2 linked regions of the Arabidopsis thaliana genome follow. The protein of the gene in region 1 interacts with the protein of each later gene in a pairwise test. Each region holds a gene or a part of one and is shown in the gene's direction. Other genes may lie near its edges. The genes, in order: CRK2 and RABA1c.

Region 1 (9,597 bases):
GGCCAGTGCTCACACAACTAAACATAAGTCAAAGCTTTCATCATTATATAATTGCCAACAAATTCTAATATCTTGAAAGTTGAAACTAATTAACTAACGTGTAGAACAAGCTCGAGATTATTCGTTTCGTCAATCCGAAGAAAAAAAATCTTAGAACGTCGCTTAATGGTAGACTCAAAATGCATCATTTCGTCAATAAACAACAAGAAGAAAAATACAACACAACATCGCTATCACTTCAGAACATGGTTTAGCTTGTACTGAAAAGATAAGAGTTTAATAATCTTAGAATGACATGACTTCGAAATAGATCTCAATCAATGTAAGGATTTTGTTTTTGCGATAAGATATTAATGCAATGATATAGTAATACAATAAGCATGGGTTGGATATTTCATATTTGGAGTTGACGCTGACTTTGATAGTCACGGGTTGGTCGCTTTGCTTCTAGACGTCGAGGACCCATCGGTTTCTATTATTTTCGTTTTTCTAAATAAAATTCGCCGAAAATTATCTGGTACCAATAATTTCACAAATTTATGTAAATTTTTAAGACAATTATTTTCTAAGATCTATCTGCCTGATTGAAAAATAACGAAACAAAACACTGTTTCATTAGTTCACAAAAACGTAATTTTCAAAAAGTGATGGTTGATTAGTTTGACAGGAATAAAACTGTCATTTTCAGAATGTACAAGTAAGTCAAAATATGCGGCAAATTCAGATAAAATGGCTGATAAAAGTAAGATTGTCGATGGATAATTGTGGTGGAGAAAGAATAAAAAGAATAATTGAAGACTTTGAAGTTGCTTTGATTTAGAGACGACCTTCACAATACGGCAGACGAGAACTTACGCCATTATCCATTACGTTGCCTTGTTTTCTCAAACTATTCCTACAAAAAAACGTAAAAGAGGAAATATCCGGAAAATTACTCCGAACTTTAGAAGATTCTTGCATTGATCAAAATCTGTTTTTAATTTCATATCACTCATGAATTTGTTTGTGTTGGACTATTCAGAGTTTCAGACAGTGCAAATTAGTAAAATATTCTTACTATTACGACGTAAGAAGAAAAAGACAAAGAGGCTGGCCGACGATGGCTAGATATAATGAACTTTAGAGGTTATATGTTTATCGTTTACTGGTTTTGATCAGTTCAAACACTCGAACCGAATGGTTAATCGATAAATATACAAGTTTATTATGAACTGAACGGTTAACGGTTACTAAAATAGACTTTACCGTTAGTGACTTAGCTCAATTCCCTAAATCGAAATTCGGAAAATCTCGGTCTGGTTCGACATTCTCTATTCTGTTTAAAGTTCCATGCCTAGTAAATACGAATTGCAAATTGGCAACTACCCAACGATTGTATAACTTATATAACCGTAACAGAAATCCTTGTTTTTTCTATGTTCCGCATTGTGGGTGACAAAACAGAACATACAAAAAAGTGACAAAAGCAATGACGTCATGATGCCCCGTGCATTAAAACAGAACATAACTCCCACACGGCGTCGTTTTCTGCTTTCAATACCCCAATGCGATCGGTATCTTTCGTTGAATCGTAAGAAGACAAAAGTCCACTCTTTGACTTCTCTTACAATTGGAAAAACTCTCAAACTGGAAAATTTTCCAAGTTTTCTTCTTTTGTTGACCCAACAACCAAAATCTAAGAATTTCAATTTCAACTTCCCGATCGTGTCTCCTTCTTGATTCTCAATCACCCAATCCATTTCAAGAGAGAAGAAAAAGAAAACAGAGCAAAGATCAAAAACCTTACACAAATGCTTTCTTGTTCAATTTCAAAAGCTTAACCACTAAACCCAGATGCCGATTCTGACTCTTCTTCTTCTTATTCTGGGTTTGTTTATAAGCCCTTCTGTTTCAGACTCGAGAGGAGACACAGTGGCTCAGATATGCAACAACAGAACAACGACGCCGCAACAGAGAAGTCTCTTCGTCACCAATTTCCTCGCCGCCATGGACGCGGTCTCTCCACTAGTGGAAGCTAAAGGTTACGGACAAGTGGTCAACGGTACCGGAAACTTAACCGTCTACGCTTACGGAGAGTGTATAAAAGATCTTGATAAGAAAGATTGCGACTTGTGTTTCGCTCAGATCAAAGCTAAAGTTCCTCGTTGCTTACCTTTCCAAAAAGGTACTCGTGGTGGTCAAGTCTTCTCAGATGGTTGCTACATCAGGTTTGTTTCTCTCTCACACTCATTTCAATCCGATAAAAATCTTAACTTTATGGTTTGATTGATTCTTGCATTTGGTTATAATCGATTGTTGTATCTTTGTTTTAGGTACGATGACTACAATTTCTATAACGAGACGTTAAGCTTGCAAGACCGGACAGTTTGTGCTCCAAAGGAGATTACCGGAGTAAACCGGACGGTATTTCGGGATAACGCTGCAGAGTTGGTTAAGAACATGAGTGTGGAGGCGGTGAGAAATGGTGGATTCTATGCTGGTTTTGTGGATAGACATAACGTGACGGTTCATGGTCTGGCTCAGTGTTGGGAGACTCTTAATAGAAGTGGTTGTGTTGAGTGTTTGAGTAAAGCTTCAGTGAGGATTGGTTCTTGTTTGGTTAATGAAGAAGGTCGAGTTCTTAGTGCTGGTTGCTATATGAGGTTTTCTACTCAAAAGTTTTATAACAATTCTGGAAATTCTACATCAGATGGTAATGGTGGTAAGTAGAATAAGCTTGAAATATGATTTAAATTTAGTATATGTTTGTAACATTTATTTAGCAACATTCTTGTTGATCAGGTCATAACCATTTGGGTGTGATTTTGGCGGTGACATCTTCGGTTGTGGCTTTTGTTCTGTTGGTCTCTGCCGCTGGTTTCTTGCTTAAAAAGAGACACGCCAAGAAGCAAAGAGGTTTGTTCCATAAAGAATTAGTTAAGATTTATGTTCCAGAAATAGCTTAGTTTTCAAGATTAGTCATAGAGTTTGAGTGGTTATAATAGTGAAGTCTTGATCTTAACAGATATTTGTGTGTGTGTGTGTGTAATGTAATGTAGAGAAGAAGCAACTAGGGTCATTATTCATGCTTGCGAACAAATCTAATCTCTGTTTCTCCTATGAGAATCTCGAGAGGGCTACCGATTACTTCAGCGACAAAAATAAGTTAGGACAAGGAGGATCTGGCTCTGTCTATAAGGTAAGTTCTGTTCTTATTATACATTTTCTAGAGTTTCATGTTGGAATGTTCCTACTTCTCAATTGGTTAACTCTTTGCCCTTTTTGTGGAGTAGGGAGTTCTTACTAATGGTAAGACTGTTGCAGTAAAGAGACTGTTCTTCAACACAAAGCAATGGGTGGATCATTTCTTCAACGAAGTTAATCTAATAAGCCAAGTAGACCACAAGAACCTTGTTAAGCTCTTGGGATGCAGCATAACTGGACCAGAGAGCCTTCTGGTCTATGAATACATTGCAAATCAAAGCCTCCACGACTATCTTTTCGGTTTGTTTTTGTCAATCCTAAACCTTTTACTACAGTTACCATGTCTTGATGGATCTTTTATTGACTTGTTCTTGTTGCTTTGTTTTGGTTCAGTAAGAAAAGATGTTCAACCGTTGAATTGGGCAAAGAGATTCAAGATTATACTTGGTACAGCAGAAGGAATGGCGTATCTTCACGAGGAGTCAAATCTTAGAATCATACATAGAGATATTAAGCTGAGTAATATCCTTTTGGAAGATGATTTTACTCCAAGAATTGCTGATTTTGGATTGGCTAGATTGTTCCCAGAGGACAAGACTCATATCAGCACTGCCATCGCCGGTACACTGTAAAGTCTCAAAACTTATCTTTGTAACTTTAATATCTCTCTCTACCGTTTCTTGTGTTGTTTCTGAAGATTCTTACTTGTGGAAACAGAGGCTACATGGCACCAGAATATGTAGTACGAGGAAAACTAACTGAGAAAGCAGACGTTTATAGTTTTGGAGTTCTTATGATTGAAGTTATAACCGGAAAACGTAACAATGCCTTCGTACAAGACGCTGGTTCGATCCTACAATCGGTAAACTAACTCTCTACAAGTAGTTCAAACATTTTCTTGATTTTAGATCAAATCCTTTTTCTTGAATCTTGAAAACATATTTTAGGTATGGAGTCTGTACAGAACAAGCAATGTGGAAGAGGCAGTGGATCCAATCTTAGGTGATAACTTCAACAAGATAGAAGCGTCACGGCTACTTCAAATTGGGCTTCTCTGTGTTCAAGCAGCGTTTGATCAGCGGCCTGCGATGTCTGTGGTTGTGAAAATGATGAAAGGGAGTTTGGAGATTCATACGCCGACGCAACCACCGTTTCTGAATCCAGGAAGTGTAGTAGAGATGAGAAAGATGATGATGACTCCCACGACGAATCAGTCTAATTCTTCAGGATCAAGGAGTGACTACATAACCGAGGGTTCGAGTTTCTTTGAACCTAGATGAGGTTTTAGATCGTGTTAGATATATCAGTATCCTTTCGTGTGGATTCTGAATCATCTTGTGTCATATGTACAAAAATTGAGATGCCAATTAATCGTGTGTTAGCTAGGAACTGAGGGTTACTTATGTGCCACGACAATGTCATAGAAGCTAGGAAGTGAACAATGTAGAGCTTACATGACGGGGACAGATTCCGGTTTAGCCTCGGTTTTGATTGTAGTGATTCGGTTTACGGTTCAGTAGTTTTATTTTGTGTGTTAATTTTGAGTAGCTTTGTATATTAGTAAGCGGTTTTTGTGTTTGTTCTCGTTTTAACTTTACAAAAAGAGAAAGAGTAAATGTCATATTTAAATAGAAAAATGCAACCACAAATGCAAAGAAATTCGAGTAAAACCAAATAATGCCATAAGGATATTTACCTAAGAATCAAAATATGAAACATATTAAATGTACACAAGAAAAAAATCAAATCACTAAAAATTCACTAAATTTATTACCGCAAAGTTTGGATCATGATCTCCTAATTTTTGCACAAGTGGATTCGAATCAAGGACTTTTTATCAGTGTTTTTGTTTTCTTTCAAGGAAGCCATAGGAGACTACTAGATAGAAACACATATACTACATATGTCTTTATTATAGCCAACTAGATTTAACATTTTTAGAATTGAATGTCCAACTACTTCTCATTTTTCTTTGCAATTGATCTTGAATAAAACTTTGACCATGGCAACATGTAAATGGTATTTTGTTATATATATTTTTATTATTTGTACAACTTTTATTGTACTATACCAACTAGGCCTACTAAATCAACCCAACAAATTGACAAAAAAAAAATCAACCCAACAAACCTATTTCTTTATTTAAAGTAGTCTAACGTCACTTTATCCATTTTCTTGAATGTCATCTTACTAAACACTACGCATATGTGACGTTTTCTTTTTTCTTTAACTAATCAGAAAATTGAATTTTTCATGATACCGGTAAAGAGATTTATCCAATTAAACCGAACCGGCTCCACATAAGATAAGCTCTATTAATTATTAGTCCACTGGTTTTTAGGTTTATGAAAACGACAAATATTTGAATGAAGACAACGACTTCAACAACATGATCGAGCTGGTTTGGTTTCCAAGTGTGAATTCAAGACTAAGAAGAAATCCAACAATCTCCATTATCAATTTTTTTTATTAACTTTTTGACTAAACCAGTAGAGAGAGAGAGAGAAAGACAGCAAATTTGGTTGACTCTAACAAACCAATATCATCAAAGTCAAGCAGTTGAAAATTCTTCAATTTCATCATCTCCAATTCTTAATCTCTCTGCTTCTTCTTTCTTCACAACTTGAAACAGAACACAAAACCCTTGATGAGGGAATAAAAAAAGGAGATCTCTTTCTCAATCAAACAAAACAAAATGAAGAAAGAACCTGTCCATATCCTTCCTCTGTACCTTCCATGTCTCTTGATGTTTCTTCTTTCATCACTCCGTCAAATCACCGGAGACGCAAGGGCTAGAGCCGTTAAAGTCACTTGCTCACCTTTGCTTGAGCACAACGAAACCGCTTATGTCCCAAATTTCGTAGCCACAATGGAGAAAATCAGCACACAAGTACAAACTTCCGGTTTTGGAGTTGCTCTCACCGGTACAGGACCAGACGCTAACTATGGTCTTGCGCAGTGCTATGGTGATCTTCCTTTAAACGATTGTGTACTCTGTTACGCGGAAGCAAGGACGATGCTTCCGCAGTGTTATCCTCAGAACGGAGGTAGAATCTTTCTTGATGGATGTTTTATGAGAGCTGAGAATTATAGTTTCTATAATGAATACAAAGGACCTGAAGATAGCATCGTATGTGGAAACACGACGAGAAAGAATAAGACTTTTGGTGATGCGGTGAGACAAGGGCTGAGAAATGCTGTTACTGAGGCTTCTGGGACTGGAGGGTACGCTCGTGCGTCTGCAAAGGCGGGTGAATCTGAATCTGAATCAGCGTTTGTGTTGGCGAATTGTTGGAGAACTTTGAGTCCTGATTCTTGTAAACAGTGTTTGGAGAATGCCTCTGCTTCTGTGGTTAAAGGATGTTTGCCATGGTCAGAAGGACGTGCGCTTCACACTGGATGTTTCCTTCGGTACTCTGATCAAGATTTCTTGAATAAGATACCAAGAAACGGAAGATCAAGAGGTAACACAATAAAAAGATTCATGCTTTCTATAGAATCTCATTCGCTTGATGGTCATAAGTAATTGTTTTTGCAGGCTCTGTGGTAGTGATTGTGGTGTCAGTACTTAGCTCTGTGGTTGTCTTCATGATTGGAGTAGCAGTAAGTGTTTATATCTGCAAACGTCGGACCATAAAGAGGAAGAGAAGAGGTAAGATTAGTTTCTTGATTTGTGATGAATTGGTTTAAGAAGGATTGAGTGTTTTTAACCGAGATCTTTGGTGCTTAACAGGATCAAAAGATGTTGAGAAAATGGCGAAAACACTAAAAGACAGTAGCTTGAATTTCAAATACTCAACACTAGAGAAAGCCACAGGTTCTTTTGACAACGCGAACAAGCTTGGACAAGGCGGATTTGGAACTGTCTATAAGGTATGTGTGTGTATGATCATGTCTCTCTTTCTATACCTTCCTGTAAAGCAAATGAGTGATATAGTGGTATCTCTCTGGCTTGTTTAGGGGGTTCTTCCAGACGGAAGAGATATCGCTGTGAAGCGGTTATTCTTTAACAACAGACATAGAGCAACCGATTTCTACAATGAAGTCAACATGATCAGCACTGTTGAACATAAGAACCTTGTTAGGCTGCTTGGTTGCAGCTGCTCAGGACCAGAGAGTCTCCTTGTCTATGAATACCTTCAGAACAAGAGCCTTGATCGATTCATCTTTGGTAACTACTACTAATAATACTATATGATGAGTTTTTATTGTTGAATCTTGAATGCAGCAGCACACTAAACCTGTCTTCATTATTACTTTTGCAGACGTGAACAGAGGGAAAACATTAGACTGGCAGAGAAGATACACGATCATCGTTGGAACCGCTGAAGGATTGGTGTATCTGCATGAGCAGTCGTCTGTGAAAATTATTCACAGAGACATAAAAGCAAGTAATATTCTGCTAGATTCAAAGCTTCAAGCTAAAATCGCCGATTTTGGTCTGGCGAGATCATTCCAGGACGATAAGAGCCATATTAGCACTGCCATTGCAGGGACCTTGTAAGTATATATTCAGAAAAATGTACCATTTCTTCAAAAAGATATGAATGTTTGAGCTGATCCAATACTTGTGAAACTGCAGAGGTTATATGGCTCCGGAGTACTTAGCACATGGTCAGCTAACAGAGATGGTAGACGTTTACAGCTTTGGAGTTCTTGTACTAGAGATTGTAACTGGAAAACAGAACACCAAAAGCAAAATGTCAGATTACTCAGACAGTTTGATCACAGAGGTAAGTTAGACATATTTTGTCTATGGGTCTGCAGGTTTCACTTCTCAAACTAATTGTGGTGTTATGTTTTTTATTGAAGGCATGGAAGCATTTTCAGTCAGGAGAGTTGGAGAAAATATATGATCCAAACCTCGATTGGAAGAGTCAGTATGACAGTCACATCATCAAGAAAGAGATAGCAAGAGTTGTTCAAATAGGGCTATTGTGCACTCAAGAGATCCCTTCGCTAAGACCACCGATGTCTAAGTTATTACATATGCTAAAGAACAAAGAGGAGGTCTTGCCATTGCCGAGTAATCCTCCGTTTATGGATGAAAGAGTCATGGAACTTCGAGATGGTTCTGATGGTGATTCAGCTGGTTGTGCATCTCTTGCCACTGTCTCACAAAGTTCCTTTTATGGTAGATGAGCTTTGAAGAAGTGTATAAGAAGAAGAGAATACAAAATCTTTGATCTTTGAGCAGAAACTAAAATTTTGTGTATAAACCAGTGAGAGAAGCTAGATAGTATAGGTAAGTTATATCTTATGTATCATACTTGATAACAAAAAAAAAGTACTCAATAATTCAAGCTCTAGGTGCGATTTCTTCAACCAACCCATAGCTTCAAACATTTATCTTTAATAGTTTGCAAGCTTATAAACGGACTTGCGAGTTTGCAAGAGAGAAGACAACAGAAACAAAGAATGAAATGTCTGAGAATTTCCCAACATATGCCATCTTCAAAAAAATGTTATCCTCATCCACACCAGACTTGCAAACATATAAGATTGGTGGTTCAATGCAGCAGTTTAAGGTAGGTACTCGAGCTCAAGCTTTGTTGTTGTTTGTGCTCCTGCTTTCTTGTTGTGATCTCAGAACCAGGCTGCTTCTATCTGGACACATAGATCAGAACTTAGAAACTATGTGCTCCTGCTTTCTTGTACGGGATCTCAGAACCAGGCGGGCTTCTCTCTGGACAAATAGAGCAGCATTGGTAGGTTGATGTCAACGTGTGTTGTATTTGTCAAGTCCTCAGAAACTGGCTTCTGCTCCACAAACCAAGACTACCTGTAGCAACCACCACAACATATGTTAGGAACAGACAAATTTTTGTATACAAAGAAACCATTTAGAATAAAAGTAGCAATGGAGTTGAAATTATTCAACTTCTTAAATTGATCATCATTCATGTTCTCTCTTACCTTTTGATATATAATATTTTGTGAGCGAAAAAGATGATTCTTTGTAAACGTTATATCGAAAAAAAGTTTCAACCAAAACGTAACTTCCTTTTTGGTTAGATTGATATAATTATTCGTAACTGGAAATCGAATCTAATTTAGATTTCCTCTACAATATCAAATCCCCAACGGTTAGATTAACAATAAACCAAAAAAAAACCATCCTTATAAATACACACACTTAGATCACGCATTCTCTTCTTCTTCATTCATGAGAAATCAAAATACGCTCTATTCTCACGTCCTTCTTCTTCGAGAAACCAAAATCATTCATCGTTCCCATCTTTTCATACCTGTTCGCTTGATGATGATCCATGTAATCCTCGAGTTCATCATCTCAGAATCGTAATTGATTCTCTCACGTCCTCTCTTTCTTGACCTAATTGAGAAGGAAGAGATCGGGGGCAGTGAAAGCGAGGAGCACCTAAGAAGACGATTCCAGGACCTAATCTAGAAGGA
Region 2 (9,597 bases), on another chromosome or scaffold:
ATTTCTTAAATGATTTTTTCAAAATATAAATAAAAATAAAATTACTTATTTAAATAAATCATTTACTACTTTTATTTTACTTTTATTATTTTATATTTTAAAAAAATTTAATGGTCAATGGTCATCACTCTATAATGACTAAATAGTTGTTTGTGTTGTAGTTTATTTGTTTGCTACCTAATATTAGTGTAGTTATTTTACCTTGATTTTTTTAATTATTATTACGTTATGGTTCATATCTTATCATATGAAATTATGTATTTTCATTTTTGTATCTTTAGGTAAGTTCGTAACATTGACATTCAATATTTTCAAGTAATAGACTTTTGAGACGTTAAACATACCACAAAATTCAAAACAAATCCATTTGTCTCTTACGGCTATATGCAATAGTATAAAATCTAAAAAGTGTTACTAAAATAACTCTTTAATTTTTGCTTCTTTTTTTTTCATACGAAAACTCTTGATATCAAAATATCTTATATTCTTGTTGTGTGTATTCATGATAATGAACAAATTTTAGAATCTTGGATATAAAAATAATCAGATTATACATGAAAATATATAAAAATTGATATTTAGAGTCAAAAATGAATCTAACAATAAAAATGTAAGTACATAAGATGAGTCTAATTTTACTAAGTATAAAATAACAAACAAAAAATAAACATAAATTAGCGACAAAAATAATTAACATATTTTTATCTAAAGAATTTTCAAAACAAACCCACGCGTAGCGTGGGAATTCATCTAGTCATAAGTGAAAATAGAACATTTTGAGAAAAATAGCTTAGCTTACAGGATTTAACTTTTCAATTATTTTCATTTATTAATTTTAACTCAGTTAATATTAATTTGCATGATGTAAAATTAACTTACGAGATTACGCTATATATAGAAAATATATTTTCAACAATGTTTGGTTTCTAAATATTTTTGTGGATTTCTTTTTTCTATTAATTATTAGCCCTGGGCGTTTGGGTATTCGGGTCGGGTATTTCGGGTTAGGGTTTTCGGGTTTAGAAGTTTAGGACCCGTTCGGGTAGTTTAAGATTTCGGGTCGGGTTCGGGTTCGGATTCGAGTTTATTTATATATTGAAATATCAAATTTTGTGTGCAAATCTATTAAATTACTTCAAAATTTCAAAAATTCTCAAAACAACACCAGTAGTTTTGCTTGAATATATCTAAAAAGACACAAAAATAACTAAAATATCCAAAAAATCCTAATATTTTCTATATATAAGTGTAAATATAACTAATATATACTTATATTTGAAATATGTTTGGATACCTATTCGGGTTCGGGTTCGAGTTTTTCGGGTTTTGAAGTTTAGACCCGTTCAAGTATTTGAAAATTTTCGGTACACCCGCCTAAATAGGCGGGCCTTATCTAGTATCAACATAAACTTTAACTAAATAAGGAAGTTTGAGCTAAGTGTAACATTAGATAATTCAAATTAATGTTTGTGGTAGAAGAAAAAGACAATGTTAAAAAAAAAAAGGTATCTGCTACCTAGACTCGAACCCAAGCACGGATTGAAAGAGTGTGGGGACACAACCACTAACGCTAGCTTCAAATATATCAGTTGTATTCCAAGATAAACTTTATAAACCTTGTGTAGGGCACGTGCCCTACCTACCCACAACGTAGATCCGCCCCTGGTTGTCAAAAAGACTTCATAAGATCATTTTGACCACAAAAGTTCACAACTCTTGGCTCTGTACATTTGTACCTCAACCACCATCTCTCACTTTAGATTCCAGTAACTATACAGAGAGTGTCTCCTACTAATATACCGTGTTTCTATTCACTATCAATTGCAAAAAGTATTGAATATGAGAGACTTACTTCAACTTCTAGTCCTCTTCTACTACTTACTAAGTATTGTGTCAATGTTCTTGGAAGTTACTGTCCTTCCTCTCGAATCAGATTCGTGGGCTCACTTAGAACGTACCTAGGAAGCTCATATCTAGCACCTGCATTGAATAAGAGCAAGTCATTAAGGTAACAAAACAAGAAACGAGAGAAACGAATCAGAATTGTGTATTACAAACCTCTTTCATCCCAGCACAATGTTAGGTCACGGTTCTGAACAATCACGCCTGCACTGTCAACAATAGTTTGTGCTAGTTTCAAGTCAGCTTCAGCAGCAGCTCGAAGTGCTTCCCATATCTCTGGTTTTCAGTAAATTTCGCTCAGTTTCCAAATGTACATAGTGCGATGCAGCAGATTACAAGAAAGAGAGATATATATATACCTCTTTGACCACCATAGTGTGGAGAGGTGTCCCAAAATTCCTCACGCATGTTCGTAAGTTGTGCCCTTGTGATTGGCTCAGTATGTGCCCACGGTTTAGGTTTCATGATTTTCTTCCTTTTTGCTGTGTCAAACGTACAAAACTCATAAGAGAATGATACAATATAAACTACCACCAATTTTAAAACAGTTCTTTCAGTAACACCAATATTATAGCCATCTACTTCAGAAGATCATCACAGTTTCAATTTCATCAAGACAACAAATACAGTATAAGGCAGAACGAATCAGATTATATTGTCTATTGTTCACAGAACAATTTTTCTTGGTAAAAATGGAATGTTATAACATTAGTAAACGGCCATTTCATTTCAATCATACCATCGATAACAACTTTCTCTGATCCAACATTCTAATTCTGAGCAGTAGAAACAATGTTGAAGAGCATTCTAATTCTCTGCTGAACTAATTCTGAGCTTCAAAATTTGGAATCTTTAACGAATCACAAACATGTCAACACCACAATAAACTGATATTTCCTTCGAAATCACTCCAAGAATCATAACATTTGCAAGATTAGTTCATGTTAACACCTCAAAACTAGAACTATCACCAAGAATCAAAACATTACAACACAAGTATAAATCGTAGCCCAAATTCTGAGAACAAATTCAGCGAGACAAACGGAGTGCGGAATTAAAGGTTTAAGAGAGTATCGATTCCACTAACCTCCGCCTTCATTTCTGGCCTGAGAAGATCCGATACAACCCATTCTCGAACCGTTGAGAGTCGCGTTTGATTAGGTGAAAATTGGAAGTCGCTTCGAACAAGTAAAGTAAATGCCAGTACAAACTCGACCGTCGGGAACGAAACGGAGAAAGATAGCCGCCGATAAGAGTTTCACGGCGGGAGAATCGCCGGAGAAGTCTGCAAGAGTCGTCTTCAAGGTCAAATTCTGTTTTGACTGCCAAATTAGGCCATGAATGTTTTGTTGATTTTGGTGGGTTTTTGGATTTTGGATTGTGGCTTTTGGTTTTTTGTTTTTGATTTTATGAGTTTTTGATTTTGGTGGAGATTTTAGATTTTGCAAAATCTTAAATGGTAACTTTTCTAGTTTTTGATTTTTATATAATTATTATTTAGAAACGTTTTAAAATTATTTATTTAAAACTTTATTTTTATTTTTAAAAACAAAAAAAAAAGAGTTTACGATAGAATTTGTTGAAAATCCCAAAAAAGTGAATTTTGGATTTTAAGAACAAATGACTAGAATCTTTTAAATTTTGAATTCCCTATAATTTAGGAAATTAACTTTTTACAAAATCATGAATGGATGAAAAAGTGGATTTTGTAAAATCAAAAGCCAAAATCAACTTTAAAAACTAGTACCATTCAAGGCCTTAGTTTGTTAGAGAGAAGAAAGTGAAAACAGATCTCCCCGATTTTATTTATAGTCACTTTACTTGCCACGTCATATTATTCTGGATTAGTATATTATATCTGTTTGAATTAATCGTCAGCGTCTGTAGTCCAACGGTTAGGATAATTGCCTTCCAAGCAATAGACCCGGGTTCGACTCCCGGCAGACGCATTCTTTTTTATCATTTTAATCAGTTTAGAAAAACATAAAAGATAAAGACAAATGTGAATTGACGAATACGTCCTCGTCTTTATCGAAGCGAGCAAGGTAATAGATCAGAACGCGTTAACAGGGCAGTTTAGTAAATTTGGCCACACAAATGTTAGATTTCTTTGTGATAAAGACAGTACACAAGTCCTTTGTCTTTCTCGTTTGATATTTTCCAATTCCGCGTCTTTCTCTGTTGAAATCGAAAAAATTTTCAAAACAAAATCTAAGGAAAAAAGAGCAACAAGTTTCAAATCTCATTTGGGTTTTTCATTTTGAAAAGAAGGACCCATTTTTATCTCTCTCTTTGTTTTGTTTTCTCGAATCTGAAGGAGTAAAGTTAAAAGCTTTGAAGGAGAGAATCAATGGCGGGTTACAGAGCAGATGATGAATACGATTACCTATTCAAGGTTGTTCTGATAGGTGATTCAGGTGTGGGCAAATCCAATTTGCTTTCACGATTCACGAAGAACGAGTTTAGTCTCGAGTCAAAATCCACGATCGGGGTCGAGTTCGCGACTCGGAGTTTGAATGTTGATGATAAAGTCATCAAAGCTCAGATTTGGGATACTGCTGGTCAAGAAAGGTCTCATCTTTTTCAACCACATTGTTCATTTCTCGATCTGGTTTCTTATATTAGAACATTTTGATTGAAGTTTTGGGGTTTATGGTTTTGTTTGGTTGCCAAAGACAGTAAATTTTCAGCTTAGGTTAGATCTGTATCAATTGATTTAGATCCATTGGTATTGATCACTTTTATAAGAAGAGATCTGGATTAGTATGTGATTTTGACAACTTGGGTTTTGTGTAAGATAGGAGAATCCTATGATTATGATTATAAAGTTATCAGCTTTATCAAATTTCTTCTGTTGTTTTTGCTATTTTAGGTTTATGTGAGAGAGCTTGATTGGTTTCAGTAACTTCATTTCTACGATTCTTAGCTCTTCTTTCTCAGATTTCACCTAAGATTCTTCAATCATTATCGATTTCTTCTGTTGTTTTTGCTTAGTTTATTTATGTAAGAGAGCTTGATTGGTTTTAGTTGGATTCTTAAACTTTCATTTGAAGCTTTTACTTGGTCTTAATTTCAAAATTGAAAAGCTTCTTGCTTTGTATGATTTGCTATTCTCCATTTCTCTGATCAGTTTTGTAAAGCGTGCATAGTCTGAATTCGAAACTGTAAAGCTTCTTGCCTTTTTTGTGTTCCTGATGTTTCGGTTAACTTAATTCTCTGTTTCGTTGACTTTGTTTCAATAGGTACCGAGCCATCACTAGTGCGTATTACCGAGGAGCTGTTGGAGCGCTTCTTGTCTACGATGTAACCCGACACTCAACATTTGAAAACGTTGAGACTTGGCTGAAAGAACTCAGAAACCACACTGATCCAAACATTGTAGTCATGCTCGTGGGCAACAAATCTGACCTTCGCCATCTCGTGGCTGTTCAGACTGAAGATGCTAAGTCATTCGCCGAGAAAGAATCTCTCTACTTCATGGAAACCTCGGCTCTCGAAGCCACCAATGTTGAGAACGCTTTCGCCGAAGTCCTCACTCAGATTCACCACATTGTGAGCAAGAAGGCGATGGAAGCTGCGAGCGAATCCGCTAATGTTCCATCGAAAGGAGACAAGATCGATATCGGTAAAGATGTTTCAGCTGTGAAGAAAGGTGGATGCTGCTCGAACTAATCAGAGAGTAGAATTATTGTTAACAACCTAAGGATCGGTTTTTGTTAACGGTTCTATCGAATATGAAGATTGCTTTTAGGTTGAGTAATGCCCATTTGGTGTATTTCTGTTATTTATCTGATCTATCAATGTTATTGTTTGAAAATGCTATGTCAAATTTTCAGAACCCTAAATTATATTTATCTCAAACAATAGAATTGTTGAAAAGAAAAGATAAAAATAGTTTCTGCCTTTGATGATTTCAGTTTGGTTGAACATAATTTTCGGTTTGATTTCGTTTCACCGTATCGGTTCATTTTGGTTAAGTGGTACTAAAATCGATTTCTGTTAGGTTGGAATTTTGTTGTTTCGATTTTTTTGGTACAAAACCGAAGGATTACCAAAATATCCGGTTTAGTTTTGGTTTGTTTCGGTTAGCCTTTTTTAGCTCAATTTAGAGCTTGAAACTGAGCAATCGCCGGAGAAACTCTCACTCACAGTTATGGCTACGGCAATGGAAGAGCCAAGGAAGCTGAGAGGCCACAAATCAACTGCCACTTGTTGTATAGCTTCTCGTGACCGGCCTGGAATTGTTCTCACTTCCGGCGAGGTTTCTTAATCTCTAATTCAAACCTCTTTTTTCCGATGAATTTAGGTTTCGTTATTGTAGTTACTTCGCAAGATTCATAGTTTTCCGATCATACGATTATAGGATGGTTGCATTTGCTGGTTTGATTTGCGATGTAAAGATGTTCAATTCATCATCGATGTTGGAACAGAACCAGTTTCATCTCTTTGTTTCAAGACAGGTTTTGTCTCTTTGTGTTTTGTCTGTTTCTCTCTCTTTCAATTTCTTCTCTTTGTTGCAATTTGGTGATAACTTTTATTTGATTTTTCAGGTAATGAGAACATTCTCTATGCTTCTTGTGGAAACGAAATCAAGTCTTTCGATGTTCATACGGTAATTTAAAATGTTCAAACTTTGATTAACTAACTATAACCATATCCTTCACTTAGTTTTAAAGCTTCTCTCTTTATGCAATTTCATAGCTAAGTGCTACTTCTTGGAAGCCATTAGAGAGTTACAATTACAACAAAGATGAAGTTAACCAGGTAGAGATACTAAAAACTCGACTTTTCGAAAAAGTTATCATATTTACCTATGACATTGATGTTGACATCTTTTGATTTGTTAAAGGTAGTATGTAACGGAAGGTCGTCTTTTCTTGCTTCTGCAGATGATTCCGGCGATGTTAAGGTACACTCAATAGTTGTTCTTAATACTTAAAACTCTTAAAGATTACATAAACATGAATTTTGGTGGGACGGTTCTCGGTTTGATTAGTTTGCTTGTACACAGATCATCGACCTTGGTCAGAAATGCCTTTATAAAACCCTTAGAGCTGGTCACACAAGTGTATCCTTACTTCGTTTTTTTTACCCATTCTCGTCTATGAAACTCTACTAGCCTCGAAAAAATGTCTCAAATCAACACCTTAATGAGACATATAAGATATGTAGTTCTGTACAATTCATTCCATGGAGACCTTGGGAAGGTAACTAATATCTTATTGTGATTTGTTATTATATATACACATCTCTTCTAAAGTGTCTAATTTCTTTCAGTTATAACTGGTGGACTTGATTCAAAGCTTGTTTTATGGGATTTCTCAAAAGGTCGCTCGCAAAAGATTATAGACTTTGGTAAAGACTATGCCACTAATTCTGGTTTCTTTAGCCATATATATATGCAACAAATCTGATTTTGCAAGTCATTTCTGTAATCTTTCAGGATCTGATACAAATAATAACTCGGGACAATGCCTAAACCCTGCGTTTGTTCACTCAATAGCAATACCGGAAATGGACATGGTTGATAAGTTAGACAAGATATGTGCGGTTGCTAGAGGTGATGGAATTGTCAATTTGATCAATATCGAATCAGAACTTTCCCGAAAAGGAACATCATCAAAAGGAAGTAGCAGCAGCAGCAGCAACAATGTGGTCAAAAGGGTTTGTTTAGACTACTCTGTTGGTGGACACAATTCTGCTGTTTCTTGTGTAGCCTTTTCTCTGTTTCAGGAGAAAGGTAGATTCTTAATCTCTGGTGGTAATGATAAAACAGTCAAAATCTGGGATTGCTTTAAATGTCTTGATCCAAACAACAACAACAATAACAGTGATCTCCTCCATTTGAATATTAACCTAAGCAAGAAGGTAACTAAAAGCTCACATTGTTCTTTTTGCTCTTTTCTCTTTTGTCTGATTCTGAACATTTGTTGGTGTTTCTTAAACAGGTGAATTGGCTTTGCACGAATCAATCTGATTCTGAGAATCTTGTAGTGTGTGACACAACAAGAGTAGTTAAGGTTTACTCAATCTCTTAAATAGGCCTGATGGGTCCATAAAAATAGTCTAAAAGCTTCATCCTTTTTGACATTGTTATTAGTCTAAGAGATTCATTTTTATTTTTGACATTAGAATGGTTGCTTGATCTACAAGTTAGTTTATTTTTTTGTTTGATAACCAAATTATAAAGAATGATTACATTTAATTATTGAATTGTTAAATTCTTTTACTATCATCAACTTCATTACGTACTATTTGTTTGTTCTATACTTTTGTGTATTTAACTTCTCCCTTTCAGATTTTTCTTCTTGTCCCATTTACACAATTAAGATTTTGTTACGAAGTTGAAATCCAATTTATTTTTCAATAAATTATGTTATAATCATAACAAAAAATAACCTACCATTCTAACAATCTCAACTCAGAGCAACAAGTAATTTCTATTTGGATACTACGGAGACTTAGAAAATTAAGAGACTGGGGAAAAATAACAAATCAAACACTTCCCTCTTTAAGAGTAAAGAAGTCTCTAAACTGTGACAAACTCACAAGACCCTTCTTTCAAATTCCAATCTTTCCAACATTCCTCTTCTGTCCACTATGAAACCGCAGCAACCACAACCGCCATTGCTCCTCCTCCTCCTCCTCCCACTTCTCTTAACCACCGTCTCCTCCTATCCACTAAACCCAAAACAGCTCAAAGCTCTCCAATCACTCAACATCTCTACACCAACTAATGATCCCTGCAACAACAACAACAACCAATCCTCCTCCTCGTCCATAACTTGCGACGACGCTTCTCCTTACCGCCACATCACCTCAATCTCCTTCACAAACTGCTCCTCCACTCTATCTCTCCCCTCCAAAACACTCAAACCACTCTCAAAATCTCTCATCTCCCTCTCTTTCACTAACTGCCCTTCACTCTCTCCTCCATACCACCTCCCAATCTCCCTCCACTCCTTCTCCGCCGTCTCCTCCTTCCTCCAAAACAACCGTACCAAACTCTCCGGCCTCTTCCTCGCTCGTCTCAAAAACCTCAAAACCCTCTACATTTCCTCAACCCCAATCCAAACCTCTCGTCGTCTTTATGTCATCCTCGGAAACATGCATAAACTCACTTCCCTCACTATCTCAAACTCAAATCTCACTGGCCTTATCCCTAAATCTTTCCACTCAAATCTCAGATACATAGATTTATCAAACAACTCACTCAAAGGCTCAATACGCATTTCCATTACTCGTCTCAAAAACCTCAAGTCCTTAAACTTATCTCATAACTCTCTCTCTGGCCAAATACCAAACAAAATCAAAAGCTTAACTTTTCTAAAAAACTTATCTTTAGCTTCAAACAAACTATCAGGAACAATCCCAAATTCACTCTCATCTATCTCTGAACTTACACATTTGGATCTAAGTATGAATCAACTAAACGGAACCGTTCCAAGTTTCTTCTCCGAGATGAAGAACCTCAAACACTTGAATCTCGCTGATAACTCCTTCCATGGAGTTTTACCATTCAACGAAAGCTTCATCAAAAATCTCAACTTTTTCGAAATTGGAAGGAACAGTGAGCTCTGTTATAACAAAACTGTTCTCTCCTCGAACTTGAAATTGGAGGGTCTTGCTCCGTGTGATAAATACGGTTTTCCTTTATGGTCTCCGTCGCAAAAGGAGGAATCTTTGTCAGGAGAA

Evidence for each region.
Region 2: the proteins of CRK2 (region 1) and RABA1c interact in binary tests that used the Arabidopsis thaliana proteins (3 or more experiments, as listed by UniProt).

Annotation. Positions count from the first base shown.
Region 1 is NC_003070.9:26,583,616-26,593,212, reverse strand, and holds CRK2 (cysteine-rich RLK (RECEPTOR-like protein kinase) 2), read left to right. Parts: upstream 1-5,584; 5' UTR 5,585-5,878; coding exon 5,879-6,647; intron 6,648-6,721; coding exon 6,722-6,835; intron 6,836-6,916; coding exon 6,917-7,056; intron 7,057-7,143; coding exon 7,144-7,354; intron 7,355-7,448; coding exon 7,449-7,683; intron 7,684-7,765; coding exon 7,766-7,916; intron 7,917-7,995; coding exon 7,996-8,325; 3' UTR 8,326-8,484; downstream 8,485-9,597. Other genes in the region: CRK3 (cysteine-rich RLK (RECEPTOR-like protein kinase) 3), read left to right, coding at 1,834-2,207, 2,313-2,701, 2,782-2,895, 3,039-3,178, 3,273-3,483, 3,577-3,811, 3,901-4,045, 4,131-4,463.
Region 2 is NC_003076.8:18,555,066-18,564,662, forward strand, and holds RABA1c (RAB GTPase homolog A1C), read left to right. Parts: upstream 1-3,994; 5' UTR 3,995-4,252; coding exon 4,253-4,473; intron 4,474-5,144; coding exon 5,145-5,574; 3' UTR 5,575-5,880; downstream 5,881-9,597. Other genes in the region: AT5G45740 (Ubiquitin domain-containing protein), read right to left, coding at 1,910-1,980, 2,059-2,178, 2,262-2,384, 2,990-3,032; AT5G45760 (Transducin/WD40 repeat-like superfamily protein), read left to right, coding at 6,056-6,163, 6,266-6,362, 6,453-6,514, 6,604-6,666, 6,752-6,811, 6,914-6,970, 7,067-7,109, 7,180-7,257 and 2 more; RLP55 (receptor like protein 55), read left to right, coding at 8,503-9,597. UniProt on the Arabidopsis thaliana protein: Intracellular vesicle trafficking and protein transport.